Linked DNA regions of Mytilus edulis. The protein of the gene in region 1 binds, or shares a complex with, the protein of each later gene. Links are inferred from orthologs where the notes say so. Each region holds a gene or a part of one and is shown in the gene's direction. Other genes may lie near its edges.

The links.
Region 2: the proteins of origin recognition complex subunit 2-like (region 1) and origin recognition complex subunit 3-like are in contact, whole or in part, in a cryo-EM structure (PDB 7JK6), measured with the Drosophila melanogaster proteins. The link is inferred for Mytilus edulis from reciprocal best matches to the Drosophila melanogaster genes Orc2 and Orc3. Residues at the interface, in NP_731873.1 of Drosophila melanogaster: Ala331, Ile332, Lys342, Met344, Cys345, Ile346, Leu347, Asn348, Glu349, Phe351, Tyr356, Leu358, His369, Lys375, Thr377, Val378, Leu379, Val380, Val381, Asn382, Phe385, Asp392, Ser396, Asp400, Ile401, Leu402, Asp403, Asn410, His412, Glu413; in NP_476904.1 of Drosophila melanogaster: Gly10, Cys11, Phe12, Val13, Tyr14, Lys15, Asn16, Ala18, Thr19, Arg20, Ser38, Leu39, Leu40, Tyr50, Tyr53, Arg54, Asn106, Pro108, Arg135, Asp136, Ala142, Arg177, Arg180, Asp308, His312, Gln316, Lys319, Tyr320, Met323, Phe327.
Region 3: the proteins of origin recognition complex subunit 2-like (region 1) and origin recognition complex subunit 5-like are in contact, whole or in part, in a crystal structure (PDB 4XGC), measured with the Drosophila melanogaster proteins. The link is inferred for Mytilus edulis from reciprocal best matches to the Drosophila melanogaster genes Orc2 and Orc5. Residues at the interface, in NP_731873.1 of Drosophila melanogaster: Asp438, Arg443, His468, Asn470, Thr471, Pro472, Leu473, Leu474, Trp475, Asp476, Gln477, Leu480, Trp487, Ser521, Ser524, Glu564; in NP_477132.1 of Drosophila melanogaster: Lys169, Ile382, Cys401, Asn402, Leu404, Ser405, Ile407, Ser408, Thr409, His412, Asn424, Ile425, Met426, Glu427.

What each region holds. Positions count from the first base shown.
Region 1 is NC_092350.1:14,218,730-14,226,577, forward strand, and holds the start of origin recognition complex subunit 2-like, read left to right. Parts: upstream 1-4,759; 5' UTR 4,760-4,800; coding exon 4,801-4,903; intron 4,904-7,848. UniProt on the Drosophila melanogaster protein: Component of the origin recognition complex (ORC) that binds origins of replication. DNA-binding is ATP-dependent, however specific DNA sequences that define origins of replication have not been identified so far.
Region 2 is NC_092353.1:2,484,473-2,492,205, reverse strand, and holds the start of origin recognition complex subunit 3-like, read left to right. Parts: upstream 1-4,627; 5' UTR 4,628-4,764; coding exon 4,765-4,791; intron 4,792-7,733. Other genes in the region: guided entry of tail-anchored proteins factor 1-like, read right to left, coding at 243-408, 1,259-1,339.
Region 3 is NC_092344.1:67,509,704-67,517,269, forward strand, and holds the start of origin recognition complex subunit 5-like, read left to right. Parts: upstream 1-4,470; 5' UTR 4,471-4,603; intron 4,604-7,229; 5' UTR 7,230-7,246; coding exon 7,247-7,339; intron 7,340-7,566. UniProt on the Drosophila melanogaster protein: Component of the origin recognition complex (ORC) that binds origins of replication. DNA-binding is ATP-dependent, however specific DNA sequences that define origins of replication have not been identified so far.

The sequences.
Region 1 (7,848 bases):
AAAAGGGGGGTCAATATTCCTTGACACTTCAATACCTTGGATTTTTTACTAAATTCATTGCAAAAATTGTTGGAAGTCTTTAAAGAAGTAGAACAAACAAGAAAAAATCAGCAAACAATGATCTTGATATTGAAAGTTTATGTTCCTGTAGCCCAAAATGAAATTTTCAAGTATTTTCTATCAAAGTCATACATTACAGTCAGTTTAAATTGAGCTGTGAAATTTTTATTATAAGTCGCATAATGCTCAGATAGGCTGTTTTTAACTACAAATTGACTAAGGATTAAGAATAAAGCAAAATAAAAGATTTCTAATCAACTTTTTTGTCTCTTTAAGCAAAATGCGGTGAAACATCAAAATCAGAAAACAATTGTTTTTTTTTGTCTTAACTGATCATTTGAGATAATAGTAGCCACATTTCAATCTTTTTGGGGGCAAAATGTCACATATTGCAAATTTAGAGCCTAAAACTTGAGTTTGTCCTATTTTTAGCTTTTCCCATCCTGACAATAGGCTTTTATATAAAAAATGTCCTAAATAATGTTATAAATGCACAGAAAGTTATTCTGTGGTGTTAGACATTGAAACATAAGTTGTTTACTACCCCCAAAAAAAATTTGTCATGCAGATTTAATGAAATTATTTGATTTTTACCCCTTATAGCATTGCGTCATACTATGTACTTGGCAGATAGCATAGCCTAATGTAAGCACTGCAGAAACTCACAAAAGCACCATTTATTATTCCAAATGAAATTTTTATATCTTAATTTTTATTAACTGATGTAAATAAACACAGTTAAATGACCATGACTGCACTTTTGATCAATTTGTAGTACTTTACTGACACCAGATGAAAAAAAGGGGGGTCAATATTCCTTGACACTTCAATACCTTGGATTTTTTACTAAATTCATTGCAAAAATTGTTGGAAGTCTTTAAAGAAGTCGAACAAACAAGAAAAAATCAGCAAACAATGATCTTGATATTGAAAGTTTATGTTCCTGTAGCCCAAAATGAAATTTTCAAGTATTTTCTATCAAAGTCATACATTACAGTCAGTTTAAATTGAGCTGTGAAATTTTTATTATAAGTCGCATAATGCTCAGATAGGCTGTTTTTAACTACAAATTGACTAAGGATTAAGAATAAAGCAAAATAAAAGATTTCTAATCAACTTTTTTGTCTCTTTAGGTGTCATACCACCAATTACTCCCTCAAATTTAGAACGTATGTGAAAGTAGGCCTACTCGGACAAAAAAAAGTGCATTTGATGTCATTGTTCACCTAAACTAACGAACAAATTTGCAGAAATGAAAGTTTTGTTGAAAGAGAAATATATTAAGACCATTTTGAGCCAAAATTTACCTGTCTATGAGTTTGCATTAAAAATTGAGGATTAATGCGCTCCATAGTATACTAATTTAAGATTTCCAGAAAACCAGGGGTTATTTTTAGTGGTACCTCCTTTCGGAAGCTCTCTGCTTTCTTGTATGATTTTGAATGTATGTTGAAAATTGGCATGCAGAAAGGTGACACCTGTACAATTCAGGATATACCTAGTTTCTATGAAGTTAAACTTAAGGTAAAATATTTAGAAAGCTGTGAAAATTGCAAAATTTGGTTGAACAGATAGGGACTTTTAATTGGTGGTATGACACCTTTAAGCAAAATGCGGTGAAACATCAAAATCAGAAAACAATTGTTTTTTTTTGTCTTAACTGATCATTTGAGATAATAGTAGCCACATTTCAATCTTTTTGGGGGCAAAATGTCACATATTGCAAATTTAGAGCCTAAAACTTGAGTTTGTCCTATTTTTAGCTTTTCCCATCCTGACAATAGGCTTTTATATAAAAAATGTCCTAAATAATGTTATAAATGCACAGAAAGTTATTCTGTGGTGTTAGACATTGAAACATAAGTTGTTTACTACCCCCAAAAAAAATTTGTCATGCAGATTTAATGAAATTATTTGATTTTTTACCCCTTATAGCATTGCGTCATACTATGTACTTGGCAGATAGCATAGCCTAATGTAAGCACTGCAGAAACTCACAAAAGCACCATTTATTATTCCAAATGAAATTTTTATATCTTAATTTTTATTAACTGATGTAAATAAACACAGTTAAATGACCATGACTGCACTTTTGATCAATTTGTAGTACTTTACTGACACCAGATGAAAAAAAGGGGGGTCAATATTCCTTGACACTTCAATACCTTGGATTTTTTACTAAATTCATTGCAAAAATTGTTGGAAGTCTTTAAAGAAGTAGAACAAACAAGAAAAAATCAGCAAACAATGATCTTGATATTGAAAGTTTATGTTCCTGTAGCCCAAAATGAAATTTTCAAGTATTTTCTATCAAAGTCATACATTACAGTCAGTTTAAATTGAGCTGTGAAATTTTTATTATAAGTCGCATAATGCTCAGATAGGCTGTTTTTAACTACAAATTGACTAAGGATTAAGAATAAAGCAAAATAAAAGATTTCTAATCAACTTTTTTGTCTCTTTAAGCAAAATGCGGTGAAACATCAAAATCAGAAAACAATTGTTTTTTTTTGTCTTAACTGATCATTTGAGATAATAGTAGCCACATTTCAATCTTTTTGGGGGCAAAATGTCACATATTGCAAATTTAGAGCCTAAAACTTGAGTTTGTCCTATTTTTAGCTTTTCCCATCCTGACAATAGGCTTTTATATAAAAAATGTCCTAAATAATGTTATAAATGCACAGAAAGTTATTCTGTGGTGTTAGACATTGAAACATAAGTTGTTTACTACCCCCAAAAAAAATTTGTCATGCAGATTTAATGAAATTATTTGATTTTTACCCCTTATAGCATTGCGTCATACTATGTACTTGGCAGATAGCATAGCCTAATGTAAGCACTGCAGAAACTCACAAAAGCACCATTTATTATTCCAAATGAAATTTTTATATCTTAATTTTTATTAACTGATGTAAATAAACACAGTTAAATGACCATGACTGCACTTTTGATCAATTTGTAGTACTTTACTGACACCAGATGAAAAAAAGGGGGGTCAATATTCCTTGACACTTCAATACCTTGGATTTTTTACTAAATTCATTGCAAAAATTGTTGGAAGTCTTTAAAGAAGTAGAACAAACAAGAAAAAATCAGCAAACAATGATCTTGATATTGAAAGTTTATGTTCCTGTAGCCCAAAATGAAATTTTCAAGTATTTTCTATCAAAGTCATACATTACAGTCAGTTTAAATTGAGCTGTGAAATTTTTATTATAAGTCGCATAATGCTCAGATAGGCTGTTTTTAACTACAAATTGACTAAGGATTAAGAATAAAGCAAAATAAAAGATTTCTAATCAACTTTTTTGTCTCTTTAGGTGTCATACCACCAATTACTCCCTCAAATTTAGAACGTATGTGAAAGTAGGCCTACTCGGACAAAAAAAAGTGCATTTGATGTCATTGTTCACCTAAACTAACGAACAAATTTGCAGAAATGAAAGTTTTGTTGAAAGAGAAATATATTAAGACCATTTTGAGCCAAAATTTACCTGTCTATGAGTTTGCATTAAAAATTGAGGATTAATGCGCTCCATAGTATACTAATTTAAGATTTCCAGAAAACCAGGGGTTATTTTTAGTGGTACCTCCTTTCGGAAGCTCTCTGCTTTCTTGTATGATTTTGAATGTATGTTGAAAATTGGCATGCAGAAAGGTGACACCTGTACAATTCAGGATATACCTAGTTTCTATGAAGTTAAACTTAAGGTAAAATATTTAGAAAGCTGTGAAAATTGCAAAATTTGGTTGAACAGATAGGGACTTTGACACCGAAATTCGACATAAAGAATTCCCGGATCCCGAAGGAGTAAATCCCGAAATCCCAAGCTTAAAAACACCCCATCCCGGAGTCTCGATAAAGGTCCTATCCCCCCTCATATATGTAAAAATCAATATCGGATAACCAAATCTTGCAGCCGTTCACCCCCCCCCCCCCCCCCCCACAAACTATTTGAATTAAGTTTTTTTTATCTTACATTGATCTTTTGATGTCGTCCCTTAACGGAGAAATAACGAGAAAAAGTAATGTTTTTACGATTCTCATTTGACAGAATTTAATGAAAAATTAAACTGTTAGGACCAACATTGTTTGATAGAAATATGTTTGAATATCAAGGATTGATTTGCAAAAGTTAGAAAACGGGTCAGGTTAATGAGAAAATTAAACTTTATTGAAGCACCTATGCATTTTATATCTGGCAATATAATACAAAATGGCGGTTAGTATACGTCACGTGATGTCCGACTTAGTTGAATATGACGACTGCCACATGTGGAGCAGGATCTGCTTACCCTTCCGGAGTACCTGCCGCAGATCACCCCTAGTTTTTGGTGGGGTTCGTGTTGTTTATTCTTTAGTTTTCTATGTTGTGTCATGTGTATTGTTTGTCTGTTTGTCCTTTTTTCCATTTTTAGCCATGGTGTTGTCAGTTTATTTTCGATTTATGAGTTTGACTGTCCCTCTGGTGTCTTTCAATTCGTCCCTCTTTTAGTAGGTTGGATAGGAAAATCGCAGATTGAGTTATGCACTAATATTTCTAGGATTATTATCTTCAAATTTCGTGATAAAAAGTTATAACTTTTATCAAACACTTAATTGACTTAATATGTTTAGACGCTTTACATCTTTTTTCGGCACGTTAAAGAACGAACCCGGAACATTTGTTAGGTTTTTATACTTTTTCCATTTGTGCTACTTTATTTTGAAGAGCTATTTTGCGGGAAAGAAGAAAAATGAACAGTCGTCCACGAAGAAAATGTGTATCTGTCAGTTTTGTTGCAGACGAAGATGTTATTCAGCATATAGTAGACGCACATGAAAAGTCTTCCAAAAAAGGTGAAGATTTTTTTGGGGTCATGCTGTCCATACATACATTGTCATTGTAGTCGCGGGGATGAAAACAATCTATCACAGAAATTATTAGGGTTCAGATATTATGGGAGATCTCATTATTTGTCACAAATTGTCCACTATATTTATATTAAGATTAGAAGATATGGTATGATAGCCAATTAGACGACTATCCACCAAAGTTAGAATAAAGTGGATCTAAGCAAATTTATAGCCTAGGCAAGCCAACCCTCTCCATGCTCTACATCTATAGTCGCCGTCAGCTGAAATTTGTAGCGGCTATCGGTATAAATAATCTTAACTATCAACCACATTTACTCGTGATATAGTTTTTCACATTTCATTCATAAATCCAAAAGATAAAAACCACTACTGACCTACCTTTAAAGTGATTGAACTGTGATAATCCTGACTTTCATATTTTCCAAGACAATTTTGAATGGTGGAATCCGCCATTGTATTAACCGGAAGTGTTTCTGTGGAGTTCAAGTTCAGAAAATAAGCATAAAGCGCTGGAAACTTTATCACATCAATGACAAGAATATTACAGGAAACTCCAAAGTATAACGCATGTCACATGTAAACAAAGGATCCTCATAGAAACGAAGATGGCGGAATTACAATGGAAAACATTCTGGAAAATGTGAAGGTCAGGATTATTACAGTGCAATCACTTAAAAGGTAGGTCGGTAGTGGTTTTTCTTTTGACGATTTATGAATGGAATGCGAAAAACTCTATCTCGAGTGCCAACGCGATTGATAGATTAGATTATTTTTACCGATAACCACTACAAATTTCAGCTGACCATGACTATACATCCTACGACGATCCATGTACCTAATCGCTATTTCTCCGCCATTACTGGATATCACATAGGTTCCCGTAAAATTTTGACGTCAGAAAACAAACTAACTGATGCCACAATGGAATAGTGATTGTTGTATGATGTCAAAAGTTCAATTGGCCGGGTCAGCCGGGAATAGCGATAAAGTGTATTAGCACATTGATGACTATATGTTGGCGCATCGCAAAAAAGGCACTTATTTAAAGATAACAATTTTAAGCTAGCAATAATCAAAAATAATTTTGTGCAAAAATAAAAATAAACACATTTACATATACAAATGTATATGCAGGTATTTACAAACAGGGTAATATTTAAATATACTGAATTTGGATCAATATTATAAACTTATAATCTATAGCATCATATATATTATAATCTATAGCATTACATATTACATTATATATTATAATATATATTCTATTATATACTATAAACTTTACAGCTTTCAACAATGAGACAAACCCATACTGTATACAGGCCATATTTATCTTACTCATTTGTGAGAAAAGGCTGTATATGAGTTACAGCAAATAGAAATGCAACTAGATTTATTGAACGACAAATAAATTATAAATGGAAAAACTTTTGTTTAACAGTGTGGGAACAAACCTTCAACATGGTGTTTATACCTGTATAGATGGATAATCCTTCTATAAAAACGGTGTTTTACATTTCTGGAATTGGCATTACTATTCTGGGGGATAAATACTTTTCCGTGAAAAAAATTCTACTTTTCATCTTTTCTGGAAATAAATATCTCACTTTTCGGGGAAAATAATTTCAGGAAAACCTATTGAATGGCATTGTTTGTTGTTTTCTTTCCAGGGATCAAGTGGTGATGCCCAAATGTAATCTGGAAACCTGATGCATTTATCGTCAGATGGTGCATTTGTTATTAATTCTGCATGGCATTCTTGAATATTATTGTTTGGCAAGTACATGTATAAAGCCAAACCAAAGAAATGTTTCAGCCTTTTTCCAAAATCCGAATCTTTTCTTGTATTCTTATAAAATTATCCCTCTGTAGAGCAATTGTAGAGTGATATTTGTGTTTCGACAGGATTTAAAACAGGAAAATGGCATTTTCTATTTACATGTACATTCTACATGTATATGGCTATATTAATCTATAGCATTATATATTTGTCAGTTATTGCACTTTACTAAAAATTGACATGCCCAGTTTTTCTGCTTAAGTGACAGAACTTGTAATCTTTTGTATACCTATCTGAACATCTGATCAACAACAAAAGGGACAGTCAACCTTTAAATTTTATGTTAAATCCTACAATCATGACAATAGAAATTCTGTTCATTGAGGCATAACTGAGTGGAATTTACCTGATCATCACAGCTTTCAATTATGATAAACAATAGATTGTATACTCAGTCAGTAAAGCAGTAAACGGGCCATATGCATATTAAATTAAGTTCATCAATTGGTGCATCAAACGTTGCAGGTTACTGCCATAATAAGTAGAAAATGCTATTTTGGCCTATTTTGCTTTAAATCGAGTCTAAAAAAAAATATTCCTTTATAGAAGGATAATTTTATCTCTTTACAGAAGGATTATCCCTCTATCATGTCTATACAGGTATAAACACCATATATAGAGGGTTTGTTCCCAACCTGTTTAATAAGATTGCGTGGAAGTATTGTGTAAAGAGTGGGAATGTCAAAACTGTCAACGGTATCAAAAGTATCATCAAACATGTCAAAAGCATGTAATTTCTCTAAAACATTCAAAGTTTTTTTTCTCTCCAAAAATGGTAAAGTCCACTATATTTATACATCGTATGTTCATCACAAAAATTATGATCAGTTCTTTGGTAACAAGTCAATTTGTACCTTGGCATTTTGTACCTCTTCCATTTCATACCTAAAATCACATTTCGTTCTTAACTTTTACCATTTCATACCCATGATCAAAATCATTTTGTACCATATGGACCAATAGACCACTTTCGAGTTTGTCTGTCTCCAGAAAAAACTCGTCAATTATGCACGCCTTTCTGACATCATTTATCAGATAGAGGGGATTGCCTATATCCCTGCACTATTAACGTTCATCAAGTGTCTAA
Region 2 (7,733 bases), on another chromosome or scaffold:
ATAATTCATACAGACTTCGTCCCCATTTACAGGTAATGCCTGCCTCATATTAAATATAAACATAATAAAGAAACTAAGGTTCCAACTCCCTCAGGCAAAACCAAGACCTCTATAATTATGGTTGGTAACATAGCTTTCATAAACAATAAATGATTCATAATTTGCAAAATATATTTTAACATTATGGTAATAAATTTTAAGCTTCTTAACATTTTTTGTTAAGCTGTAAAATGATAAATTACTTTGTTGTTTAACTTGAGATAATAATTTATCAATTTTCCTCTGTATCTTTGCATGTCTGGCAAACTCATCCACCATCTGTACACCATCCTGTTCTGTCTTCAGATCTTTAATCTGTGATCTTATATTCAGTTCTGTATCACAAACAGGGTATATCTGCTTACTCAGCTGAAACATAAAATAAACATTTTTTTCATTTCTGTGTGAATCTCACCAAATGTCTGTTAATAAGCATAGAATGCACATCATTCACACTGTGATCATTATTCTTCTGTCACCTGGGCCATTCCTACATCTCCTGATCTGTACTGTAGTTATTTTTTTTGTATGGTCTTCGGCCATAGCTGGTCACATCTGATCTGTACTTTATATAAATATTTCCATGGCTGATTAAGAAAAATTTACAAAAATAAAAAAAAAACTATGTTTGGATAGAACTTTGATCAGGTAACAACTGTATTGTATTGAATTGATTGATTGACATGGACAATAGACAGACATTAGTTATCTACAACTATAGGTGAGTTAAAGCGTGCAATACACCTTATCACTAATCCCTGCTGACCCGGCCGCTTGAACTTTTGACGCATACAACAATCACTTCTCCATTCGGACGTCAGATATTTGGTTTTAAGACGTAAAAATTTTACGGGAACCTGTGTGATTTTCAGTAATGGCGGACAAATAGCGATAAGGTGTATTGAGTGTACAGTATCTAAAGCAATTCAGGTGTGCATTTATTTTTACACCTTCTGGCTACAGGAACAACAAAAAAATGCCCATCAAAATCCAATTTCTTTCTGAAATACATTATGCATTTAACTTTTATATATCTAGTTGATACCAGGCCTTAAAACCTTTCCAACTAAACAGGTTAGACTGTACTCTAGAGTAGTTTAAGATGTGTAAATATAGCCAGTCTTCATTTTTTTGTCCATTTGTTATGATAAACCTACAAAAGGCATTTGTATATATTAAAGAAGAAGGAAAATTGCATGCAAAATGGATTGATTCATACTTGTTTTGAAATTATCTGGGTAAAATTCGACAAAATATTGAAGAAAATCACCAAAATTAGAACTAGTATAAGCAAAAACATTTTTTTTCTTTTTTCCAGAATATAATTCAACGTCAAGTATCAACTTGCTTTTGATTCTTGATATATGTTACTTTAAAGCGCTTTGAAGATGATTAAATGTTTTGTTACAGACTACTAAGACTTTATCGAGATTGTTCGTTTTTACAATCACTGAAGTCCAAACTAAAAGTTTCGAATACAACATACAGCCTGCTTCCTAAATACCGACTTCACATAAAACATAAATTAAAAATGAAAGTCGTACCAATAGAAATTTTTAATATACAATTTCTAATTTATCCATGTTTTAAGGAAAAAATCTTGATTCGTCAGAGTATCCAAATTGCACTTCTTTGAGCAAAGAGAGGAAAGAAAGTCTTACAAAGTTTTCTAAGGGAAAATATTTTGTATTTTTTTATTATTTGACATTACCTCGGAATAGTATATCTAACTTATAAGTTAATATATATGTTCCTGACATTACTGATGATGCACATATTTTTAAAGATAGGTTAATAGATTTAAATGTTCACAAAATGTTCACAGTAAATATCACTGAACAGATGAAGTATTAACCGGAAAAGGTAAAATCTACAGTAACATCACCATAAGACAGTCATCTTCTAAAAATGAGCAAATGAAATATGTAGACATTACGCACGTTAATGATTGGATTAACATTTAAGGAATGACTGTAATATTTTTTCTGTCTATGAAGAAATAACATAAAAAAAATGTGGTGCACACTGAATAACGTGCGTGTTATTTCGAAATAGACAGAAAAATATTACAGTCATTTCTTATAATTTAATTCTAAATTCATTTTAAACAGTTTTACCGTAGAAAACCATGAAAAACGTTGATGACGTCACGGTCACATGACTAAATTATGTCTATGGGCTGATAACAAAATAACGTCAGCCAATCAGAAGACGCGTTACATCCAAAATTAAATAATTTCGTTATGATATTATTTTAGAACAGCAACAATTCGCCTATACAAAATAAACCCACCAACATGCATACGTCTACAGAAAGCCCTTGACATGTTTTTCTTATTTTAAGTTAAGTATAAATGTTTGCACCATACGTTTATTTTATTGATCACACATATCTTACTTTTACATTAAATAATTGCATGTCCGGCGCAACATTGAGATTGAATAAAATGCATTTTCCTATGTTCCGTTGTAAAATTGCACATAAAATCTGCGAAATTTGGTACATCAACTTCCTACTAGATTTATATTCTAACGTCTTACCATGTTTTTTTTTGCGTTGGGTGGTATTTGAAACAAGTCCCCAACGAAGTATTCATCAGAGGAAATCTGTCTTTATGTGTCATGAGGAAAGTTATCAAAATTTCGAATTTTATTATTGTCAATCAAATCATATTAAAGCTATATTGACTCAATAGAAAGTTCTGAAAAAAATAAGCATGTTCAAAGTTTCGAAGGTAAAAAAAAACTTTTTCATGAAGCATAATCTAAATAAATTGCATGTCTAGCCACTATGTCCATACGATATTTTTTTTCCATTCCTTTATAGTTGAAATATGTAATACTAGTATAAACAGAAAATTTGCATTTATAATGACAAAATTCAGTCCAACATCCATGCACAAGAAAGTGAAAATTTCATATCTTCTCTCAATTATAAAATGTATAAGCCGAAGGGCTATAAATCTGTCATTTCGTACAGATAAGGCGACTGATATTATAACAACAAACAGATGTTTAAAACACAAAATTGTTAAACTTTAAAACTTTAAAAAGGAAAATGCACAGGCACATGTGGGGTTGACACTCCTCCTTTATTTTTGGTGTTTAATTCTTATTTTGGAAATATTCTGTGATGTTGTTTATCCTGACTTTTAAGATTAATTTGAAAACCTAATTATTTTTAAATATGTATTTTTTTTTTGATATCTTAATCTTGCAATTTATTGAAAAAAATAAATTTTGTAAAAAAAACCAAAATCACATATAAAGAAAAAAAAAGATTCATTTCTTGATTGGTATTGTGTATTTATTTTTTATCTCTTCTTGTAATTGCCACCTAAAAACCATGTGACATCTGTGAACTAACATAATATAATTGATGTGACAGTTTAATTTGAAAATATTGTGTTTTCTAAGTGGTGCAGGAGATAAGTTCACTTATTATCAAGTTAACATCATTTTGATGCAAATTCTCGGGCTTAGATTGAAGACTGTAAAGAAGAGACCAGTTTTAGATGTTCATGAAGAGCTTCAGTCTGGTCCATCGTCACCGTGGAGATAAGGAAAACCGGATCGTAACCCTTGGTTAGCGAAGATCATAGTCTGGTTACATCAATGCAGTACGTATTCTTGACTGTTTTCACCTTAGAGAAGATGATACTGTCTTGCATTTTATTGTATCTACACAAGATGTCATTCGTCTGTTTTGCATTATAATGCATCAAGACAAGACTTCGAATGACAAATTGAATTTTGTTACTTTTATGTGAATTTTTACTTGCTTTACAAAATCGTTGATCTCAGTTGTCTTCAACTTCTACCGGATAATGGACCATTGGCCACAATCAACTAACAGAATATTTTGCCATGACTTTGGTCAAATTATTATTCACTTATAAACTATGGAAAGCTTCTAGTTTTTATTTCTGCCTAGCTAAATAAAGGGGTCTTCAACCAGGTTCTTGGTTCGAACTCTCCGACAGTTATCAGAGTGCTGACAGGAGTAACCTGAGAGTTGGCCATATTCAACTGTTTGCCAAATGATATAAAGGATTTTGAAAAGACTTATAGAAAGCTTTAAGATGAAATGTGCTAATCTCTTGATCACAAAACAAAATGAGTAGACAAACGTTTTTTTATGACATTCTTGCCATGCTAGTTCTGTACAGTCTGATTTCATGCTTGCATAGATATATATTTGTAATTTGTAATTGTGTACATATCTATTGATTGTGCAATATGCATTGATTGTTATATGAATTGTTCATTTAAATGTGTTAAGGCCTTGTATGAGATTAACAATTGCATGTTAAAGGAGTTACCTTCGTTAAATAAAGAATTTATCATTAATTATATATATATGTAAAAAAAAAACACACAGAAAATACAACTCGTAAAATCCCTCCTTTTAGAAAGTATTACCAGAAACTTATATGTGTATATATGTCTCTGGTATTACTTTTGCATTTTTCAAAGGTCTCCTGCAAATGCGTCTGAAAATAGAGGTTTCATGTATGTGTCATCATTAAGTTGTAATTAATTTTTGGTACGTGTTTACAGTGTTAACTCTCTTGAAATTGTGTTTGGTGATTAGTTGTATTTTTGGTAATTCTCCAAGGAAACATTATTGACAGAGCCTGTATATTGAATTCTCCCGCAAAATGTATGATTGCAAGAAAACAGAAAAGGCTTAATTTTTTTTAGTAAATACCATAAACTGTTGACATGGACACTGGGTCTTCAGTTTCAAAAGTATATTAATTAATGATAGTGAAATTCTCATCACAGCTTACTTATTTTTTATTATCATGATTGAAATATATCAAATAGTTTATTATTTGTTATTTATTTTCTACAAAAAGCACTTGTTTCTACTTTATATTTCTATTCATAATCAATTTTTTGAGTCCAGATATCCTACAACTGTTCTAGAGTAGTCTAGATTTATTGTGAAGGATTTATTAAATCAAATCAATTTGCTGAAAATTAGAGCATGACATTATTGTGTAGGCTAGCAGAATAGACACCCTAACAGTAGTCCAAATAATTATGACGTCTGGCAAGGCTATTTTAATTTTTTCTGGGACGCCTTCCTACGACGTCATAACGCCGAAGCCATTTTTTATGTTTGGAGTTTGAGAGCAAATTTTGGGGGGAACTTTAAAACCTTATTTTGACCTGAAATTTTCATTGCTGGTTAGAAATTTTTACGTTATTACAAAGTCCTACCTTTTTTGTGCTGATTTATGTAAAATATTTCCAGAAATATCCAAAAGTAATGATAAAATAAGATGCAATTCCATTTCAAGTGGGCAAATATTTATATTGTTTCAGAGAGATTTCCCACAATTACCAAAAAAACGTGACAAACGTGACTTCCGGTGAATATAAAATATTAAAATCGGTAAAATTTGACAGACCCGAATTCCCAGAACATTTCATTTACATTATCCGGAATTCCCCCCAAAATTTGCTCTCAAACTCCAGACCTAAAAAATGGCTTCGGCGTTATGACGTCGTAGGAAGGCGTCCCAGAAAAAATTAAAATAGCCTTGCCAGACGTCATAATTATTTGGACTACCCTAACAGTAACCAACTTGCATTTATGTTCCAGACCGTATGTGTACTTTTTCAAAATACTTATACGATCAGACCGTACACATACAGTCTCACTAATATTGAGAAGTTGGTCAAGTTTATTAGATACAAATTTATAATTAATGCGTATTACAGATCAGCATAACTTAACTCTCAAATTAATATATGAAAAAGTTCAATTGTAGTTGAAATAAAAACTTTATATTCTAACTATTTTAAAAAATCATGCTAATCAACTCTGTTAATCTCCTGTATTTATATGATGTCGATCAGTTATACATTATTTAAATTATGATCACTGAAATTGAAGATATCTGAAGTAAACATAATATGGGAGGACAGTTGTTTTAGAATGTTTAGCAACTTTACAAAAAAATGCAAATGCAAAGGGACATGCATGAACTGCAGACATGTACATTTTCAAATGTAAAAAATATAAAGTCACCTTGGGCGAGTGTACCAAAATAGGATTCAGATATGCAATTAAACAAAGTTAAATTTCAATTGTTTGTTTGTTCAGTTTATCTGTCTAATTGTAATAATAAAAATTTGTAAAACTAAAAATAAAGATTGTGGAAAATTGTTTAAATATAACCCATATGATCCAATCACATGTATGGTCCATACGCGCATACTTATACGGTCCGACCGTACAGGTATACGTATACTGTCTGGACTGTACACGTACGGTCCAAATACTCATATGGTCTGGAACATAAAATTGAGAATGGAAATGGGGAATGTGTCAAAGAGACAACAACCCGACCATAGAAAAAACAACGGCAGAAGGTCACCAACATGTATGTTCCAGACCACATGAGTATACAGTCGGACCGTGGCGTACAAGTATACTCATACGGTCTAGAATGAGCTGGACCATACATGTATTTGGATCATATGGGTTTATTTTAGACAAACATTAATAAAAAAACTTTTATTGAGTATTTCAAGTTAATATTATTACAGTTTGATGAATAAAGTGAATAAGTTAACAATAAATCAATTGAAATTAAATAATTCTGTATTAAATTGTCTCTAAATCCTATTTTGGCAATCCCGCCCTGGGTGACACTCATGACACTTGCTGCTAGGAGGAACATCAGATTTTTTTACATTTACAATTTTACATGTATAATTTGTTTGTGCATGTTCCTTTGCATTTGCATCTCTTGCTTGCTTGCTTATTTTGCAGCAATATGCAATAAATTTCATTCTGTTTTCCAATGTGCAGTTTCAATTTTGCGTGGGAAAAGATCGATATCACCCATAACATAAGAGTTCAATATGCCAAATTCACATGATAGTTTGTACAAATTTACATCCTTACCAATTATATCATCAACCCTACATCTCCCTGATGATTTTCTTACAGGAATAAAGCTACCCTTTTTAATCTTTGCATTATTTTTCAACACTTTTTAGCTCACATGGCCTGAAGGGCCAAGCTAAGTGAGCTTATGCCATCACTTGGCGTCCGTCGTCGTCCATCGTCTGTCGTCCTAAACTATTTCAAGAATCTTCTCCTCTGAACCTACTAGGCCAAATACTTCCAAACTTTAACTGAATGTTCCTTAGGATATCTAGTTTATAAATTGTATCCGAAGTTTTGATCTATCAACAAACATGGTCGCCATTGCTAAAAATAGAACATGGGGTCAAATGCAGTTTTTGGCTTATAACTCAAAAACCAAAGCATTTAGAGCAAATCTGACATGGGTAAAATTGATTATCAGGTGAAGATCTATCTGCCCTAATATTTTCAGATGAATCGGACAACCCGTTGTTGGGTTGCTGCCCCTGAATTGGAAATTTTAAGGAAATTTTGCTGTTTTTGGTTATTATCATGAATATTATTACAGGTAAAGATAAACTGTAAACAGCAAAAATGTTCAGCAAAGTAAGACCTAAAAATAAGTCAACATGACTGAAATGGTCAGTTGACCCCTTTAGGAGTTATTGTCCTTTATAGTCAATTTTTAACCATTTTTCATAAATCTTAGTTATCTTTTACAAAAATCTTCTCCTCTGAAACTACTGGGCCAAATTGAACTAAACTTGGCTACAACCATCATTGGGGTATCTAGTTTAAAAATTGT
Region 3 (7,566 bases), on another chromosome or scaffold:
TTAATGATCTGAAAATATTTCTGGCTTTGTTTAATCTGTTCATAATGTCATTTCCTGCACCTCCATCGTTTCTTATTGTACTTCCTAGGTATGTAAATGTTTCTGTGATGGGAAGATCTTTTCCATCTACTAGGATAGGAGCTGGGTTATTGATGTTTAGGGTCATGACTTCTGTTTTGGTTTGGCTGATTTTAAGTCCAACTTGACTGGCAAATGTATTAAGGCGGTTTGTCTTCTTTTGTAAATGGTGGTGGGTGTGAGATAAAAGAGCAAGATCATCAGCAAAATCAAGATCTTCTAGTGTTGCTGAAAGGTTCCATCTTATTCCTCTTGGAGCATCTTCTGTTGTTTTTCTCATTACCCAGTCAATGACAACATTGAAAAGAAGAGAAGACATCACACATCCTTGCCTAACTCCTGTTTTTACCTCAAACCAGATGTTGCTATGCCCTACACTGCAAGTGAAATTGTTGTAAAAACTTTTGATAAGTTCAATTATATCTTTTGGAATTCCATATGCTCTTAGTATTCGCCACAAGGTCTTTCTGTTGATACTGTCAAAGGCCTTCTGGAAATCCACAAAGTTGATGTAAAGCTGCCTTTGCCATTCTGTACATTGTTCGATGATGTTGCGTAAAGCAAAAATTTGATCGATGCACCCTCTACCTTTACGGAATCCTGCTTGCTCTTCTCTTAGTTGTTTATCAATTGCATCTATTATTCTTTGGATAATAATTTTGGCCATGATTTTACTTGGAATTGACAGGAGGGTAATGCCTCGCCAATTGTTGCAATCGCTTAGAGCTCCTTTCTTGGCTAGCTTTATTATTATGCCTTTGGTCCAATCGTCTGGTATTATTTTTCCTTCCCATATTGATGTAAATAATGCTTGAAGAATTTCAGCTGCGAGTTCTGGGTCGACTTTGAAAAGTTCTGCATTCAGGTTGTCATGACCTGGTGATTTTCCATTTTTTAAAGATTTTATTACTTTTATTATTTCTTGTTTGTCTGGAAGGTTGATATTAATTTCCAAGTCTTGAACTGCCTCAATTACTATCGCTTCGTCACCTGGCGGTGGCCTGTTAAGTACTTCCTTAAAGTGTTCTGCCCATCTGGCTTTTTGCTCGTCTTCTGTTGTCAATAGCCTTCCATTTTTGTCTTTTATATGGACATCATTAGTGTTACGAAATTTACCACAGATTTCTCTTGTGATCTTGTAGATTTTTCCTTGTTCGCCCTTTTCTGCTGCTTCTTCTGCTTGTTTAGCAAGGTCTTCCATGTAAGCTCTTTTGTCTGCTCTAGCCATTCGCTTAACATTTTTGTCTAGTACTCTGTAGCTTGCTTTGTGTCTTTCTTGTAACCGTTCAGATTTTGTGTCTAGAATCTTCTTATTCATGTGACGTCTTTCTTCTATAACCTTCCATGTACCTGGTGTTATCCATTTCTTCATCGTTTTACCCTGTTTAAAACCCAAACATTCTTTGCTAGTTGTTTCGTAAATTTTTCTTATTTGATCCCATTTTGAGTTGACTTTTGTTGTTTCTGTCGGGATCATGTCAGGATTATCTGTAAGAGCTTGAAACTTATTTTTCAATTGGAGGATGAATGCAGTTTTTACTTTGTGATCTTGTAATTTTTCAATATCATATCTTGTGGGGACAAGTGTTTTACGTCCTGTACTTCTCAATTTCATCTTAATATTTGCAGTAACAAGGTGATGGTCACTACCAACATCTGCTCCCCTCTTGACTTTAACATCGAGTAATGAACGCCTCCAAGTACCATTTATCATAAGGTGGTCTATCTGGTTCTTATCCCTTCCATTTGGAGAACACCATGTTAATTTATGTATATCTTGATGTGAAAAGAGTGTTCCTCCTACTACCAAGTTGTAAGCTGCACATAATTCTGCTAGTCTTTCTCCATTATCATTTATAGTACCACATCCATGTTTACCTATTATTCTGTCCATATCAGTGTTGTTGTTTCCCACTTTGGCATTCAAATCACCCATCACCACCAATAGATCATGACGGGGTACCAATCTCACTTCAGCTTGTAGTTGTTCGTAAAAGGTGTCTTTCATAGCTTCATCACTGTCATTTGTTGGTGCATAGCATTGTATAAGGGTCATGTTGGTGTGCACTCCTTTAAATTTTGCTGTTATCAATCTACTATTGACAGGTTTCCATTCCATAAGTCTCTTCTCAGTGCCTTTCTTGAGGATGATGGCTACTCCTTCAAAATGATAGTTGTCATCTCTCCCTGAGTACAGAACTGTTTCTCCTGAATCTGTCTTTATCTTACCAGAACCTGTCCATCTACTCTCGCTAACTCCCAAAATGTGCAAATTATATCGCCTCATTTCTGATGTGACCTGTGCAAGTTTCCCAGTTTCATACATAGTACGTACGTTCCAGAATCCTATTCTGGTTTTTGCTTTAGCGCTCAGCACTTCATTCCTGCCAGCAGCTTCCTTGCGGCTTTCACCACTGGCAATCATACTATTTTCTTGAAGGCCTATTCGCACAGCGGTTGTGTTTGATTCCTTTGTTGCTGTTTCCGTAACTTAATTCTTTTTACAGGATAGAGTTGTTGGCCCTATGCCGAACCCCCTACTTGGAGGGCCAGGGATTTTTTGTCGAGGTTTCCTTCCTTTAGATAAGTTGCCGACCAAGGCTGACGAACCATTATCTGCCCTTTTTATATCAGAGTTTTCTTTCTCCTAGATAAATTACCTTCCTGGGTTAACGATCTTCATCTAACCGGCTATTTACCCATAGTTGGGGCAAGGTTAATGAGAGTAAGGGCGTGTCCACACGCCGGTGGGCCTACACTCTGCATCTTTAGGGCCCTTGCTGCTCCAAGATCCTCTACAGTAAAGCCTGAGATACTAGATCCCAGTTACCATGTGCTGTCGCGGGGAGGCACTGTAGAAGTCTTGACAGTGTAGAGGCTATGTACTGACAGGAGAGGCTTACTCACTCGGCTCTCTCTTCGCTCACATATGCAAGCTAGCCAGCGGCAGCTGCTTTTCATAAAAAAAACAACCACACTAGACGCATACTACTGCCCTGTGGAACAACCACCAGCACACATGTTTTCAAATAAGCTGTACATAAACTAAATAATTGTAAAATTTAAGCGATTTCTGTAATTATGTTATTTTTTTATTTCGATATTACCCGTCTATTTCTTCATTAGCTCAACAGAAAAAAAGGACATTAACAAAAATGTATGCTTATTCCGGAGGCAGATTGTGAGCTTAAATGAACGGTGGCCCCATTTTTTTATTTCATTTTTCTTTTAAGTATATGATAAAGTTCATTTATGAAAAAATATAGCGAAATCCTATATTAGAATTTTTTTTTTAATCAACCACTTTCTATATTAGAAAATGTCTGTACCAAGTCAGGAATATGACAGCTGTTATCCATTCGTTTTGGTGTGTTTGAGTTCAGTTTTATAGTGATTATACTTTTACATTGTTTTAGAAACGTGAGGAAGTTATATATATATATATATGGGCCTAAAAGTGGTACATAACAATTCGTTCCTTCAAAACATAGACAGTTTGCTTCATGGGATGATTCGCAACTGAAATTAAATCTTTAAGGAGGCTCGAGGGTATAAAAATTTCAGAAAAAAAATAAACATTTGTTTTTCATTACAAATTTTATTTATTACCTTTTGTAGTTGTTACTTTATCATATGGTACAAAAAACATTCAAAACAATTAATTCGTGTTGGCCCCAGATGACTTTTTAAATGTAAGCATCATTAAAAAAGTTCCAAATTATCTCCCTTTGGTGAAAAAATGCCATTTTTTGGCTTTAAATAAAGGCAACAGTAGTATACCGCTGTTCAAAACTCATAAATCCATGGACAAAAAACAAAATCGGGGTAACAAACTAAAACCGAGGGAAACGCATTTAATATAAGAGGAGAACAACGACATAACACTAAAATGTAACACACATAGACAAAATCCCACGAGAATAACAAATATAACATATATTTTTTAAAATTGAAATATCTCTTTTAACTCATCGGTGACCAGGCTATATTTTTTAATATAATTTCGATATATGCTGTACTTAAATTAAATTATTGCAAAATTTGAGCGATTTCTGTAATAAATTTCTTTTTTTTATTTCGATATTACTTTTATTTTTCCTATCAGTTCAACAGAAAAAAAAACCACTTTAACAAAGATGTATGCTTCTTTCCAGAGACATATATATATGTCTCTGTTCTTTCGAAGGCAGATTGTGAGCGCAAATGAACGGTGACCCCATTTTTTATTTTATTTTTCTATTAACTATAAGATAAAGTTCATTTATAGAAAAATATAGAGAAATCCTATTTAAATGATTTAGACCCGCGAACCCCCTTAAGTAAAGATTATCTGTAATATTAGTTTAGCTCAAGCCGATAGACATATAAGACGGAACAGTCATCTCGTCCGCTATTGACTCAGTGTTTTATAAGGATAATCTTTCGATAGTCATCGGAAATCATTAAAAAGATCCGAAATTTGGCGGGGAAATTTAATGAATTTTGACAACATTACCTGTTTAGAATTAGGTGACCGACATACAAGGTCCTTTTACTTCAATTATTTATTTATAAATTACATATGAAGAAAAAAATCTCTAGATGACAAAATTTATAACTTTTTCGTTACCAGTACCACACCGGCACACGGTCATGACAGTGTGCCTGTGTTGGTAACGAATTTTTTTTCTGGGAAGCCTTTCTACGACGTCATAATTATTTGGACTAGACAGTCACCGGCTTACTTGACACTGTCACAGACTACACATGAGAAACATTTTACATAGCATCTAACATTATAAACACTTAACTCGAAGCCCTGTTTTCATGTCTACCCGTCCCCTAGTCCAAATAATTATGACGTCTTGAAAGGCTATTATAATTTTTTTCTTTGACGCCTTACTTCGACGTCTAATTTTTTTCTTTGACGCCTTACTTCGACGTCGAAGTAAGGCGTCAAAGAAAAAAATTATAATAGCCTTTTAAGACGTCATAATTATTTGGACTACCCGTCCCCTAGTTGATCCGTCCTCAGGTCCTTCTGTTCTAAGTCTTCATTCCAAGTCAATCCGACCCACACTTTCAACATCATAACATGTAAAAAATTAAACTACTCAGTCTCATGATTATTGATGAACAAAAATCCCCAAAACTTTGGCAGATTCTGCTATGAAAGATATAATTCTGTGTCTTATGTATTTTTATTCCCCAAGTGTAGGGGCATTAAGTGTTACCCTTGTCAGTCCCGTTTTTCCTGTTGGTTCCAATCCAAAATTGGTTTCTGTTCTCTATGAACGAGTCTGCCTCAACCAAATGTTACAAAACTTGTACAGAATGCTTTCTTCCATAATTTACAGATCAAGTTCAAGTTCAAACTGTGGCGTCACTTGAACCTGTTCATGAGTAATCCTAATATACATGTAGGCCAAAAAAATAATACATGTGTTCCTGCTTAAGTTCTGAAAGAATTTAGGGTAGTTTACTTAGGCATGTTAGGTAGGTAGGCAATATCATTTTATTTTCCAAACATTTCTTAGCTGGATACTACTTGGGAACCAGTCTGACTCTAACGGTGCTTGTTCAAAATGCCCCAAAAAATTAAGGTATGCACTAAAAACTTGGGTAGGTAGGGTTAGGGGAAATACATGTATTATTTTTTTGGGCCTTATAAATATAAAAATTGCTGGCAATAAATACAGAGTACAGTAGACTCCGGCCAATCGGATACCCAAAATGTCAGCTAAAAATATCTGATATTGTCCGATATATTCAATTAGCCGATGAACGTATATTCCTCCGAGTTTTTTTTCAAAATTGACAGACACAACCCTAAGATACCAATAGCTATTATAGCTGCTTTATTAATGGAAATTTGTAACTAATCTCATTGTTTTTTCAGGTACAAGTTCGGATAATTCGGTTGATTGAGTAACAGATCAATCAGTTGATAATAATGTATTTTGTTTATCTGTCAGTCTATTGATTATTAATTATTAATTATGAGTTGATTATCTGAATAAAATATGTACCATTTAAATAATGTGACTTGTTGTTTTTGCGTGATTTGTTTCATTTGTGTGTTAAAACAGGTAAAAGCTAAAAATAGCTATGAATTCTCGGAAGTAGGCCACAGGTAAATTCTATTAATAGCTACGAATTCATGCCGACTATAAACTTCTACCTGTAATCGTACTCGGATCTAATTTTCTACATTTTTTTATTTATGAAATCCATTTCCAATTTCAAGTAATACAACTATGTTTATGATTATAAAATTGTAAAATTAATTTTGCTTTTCTATCTTCTCTGTCGTGGTTCAAAATAAAAGGCTGAATATTATGTAAATTAGGAAAATGGCGTACGTGTGTACAAGTTACATAATTCTATTTCACCTGGGACATGCTATTGACACACGATTCCTTGTTTTTACACGGGACTTCTATATATATTTTAATAAATTGTTGAGAAAGAGGTACATTTCATTCATATTTAATAAACATTGATGAACATCACGCACAGTTTATCATTTTGTCGTGTCATTGTTTGTGAAGTAAATGACAACGATCACATTTGGATAAACACATAACAAACACATCTTGGGCAGAATATAATATCAAATTCATAAAATAAACAAGACAATAAGAAAAAATATGTTTTATTTGACTATGAAAGATCGTTTTTATTAATAAAATGAAACATTTCTGTACTGAAGTTTTCTTAAACTTCGTAATGGCGTGACTTCCGGTTTCATTTCCTGTCAAAAAAAATATGAAACTATTTCAAAATATTCGATTGTACATGGTTTTCACACATTTTCCATGAATATTCCTATCCAATTAGCCGATATATTCTAATAACCGATATTCGATTATCCGATGTATTTTGACTGAAATGTATAGGGAATGGTTCGGTGTTTTGAAATAATATTACAATAGCCGATATATTCGATTAACCGATATCCGATTAGGTGGAGTCTACTGTACTTATAATTTATGGATATTCGATATCTTTATATTTAACATGTTTAAATAACAAGATATTTTTATACCATTATGATATATATAATAGATGTTTTATAAAGATATTTGATTTATTTGATCTAGCTATTAATACATTCCTTATGTTCAGTTGACACCTGTCAAATACTGCTCATTTGTTCTCCTTTTATGTAGAAGCTGCATCAGAAAATATGACAGAAGTAGACAACTTTAAAGAAGATCTCAACAAAACATTTCCATGCAGACAATCACAGATTAATTTGTTGCTGTCATTGTTTGGACAGGTAAGTGAAATGTTTTTTTACAAGTGTATACAGATGCAGATTACATAAAATGAAGATTACATAAAAAGGGTCCTAAATTTTAGTTTTCAAAAAAATGCAAGTTGTCCTGCTTTTTCCATGTCTATTTTAAAAAATAATATTCTTGGGTCAATTTAAACTCTACTTTGATAACTACTTTAAATATCTATTATATAGTTTTGAAGCTTGTGGTATCAAGTCATTTAATA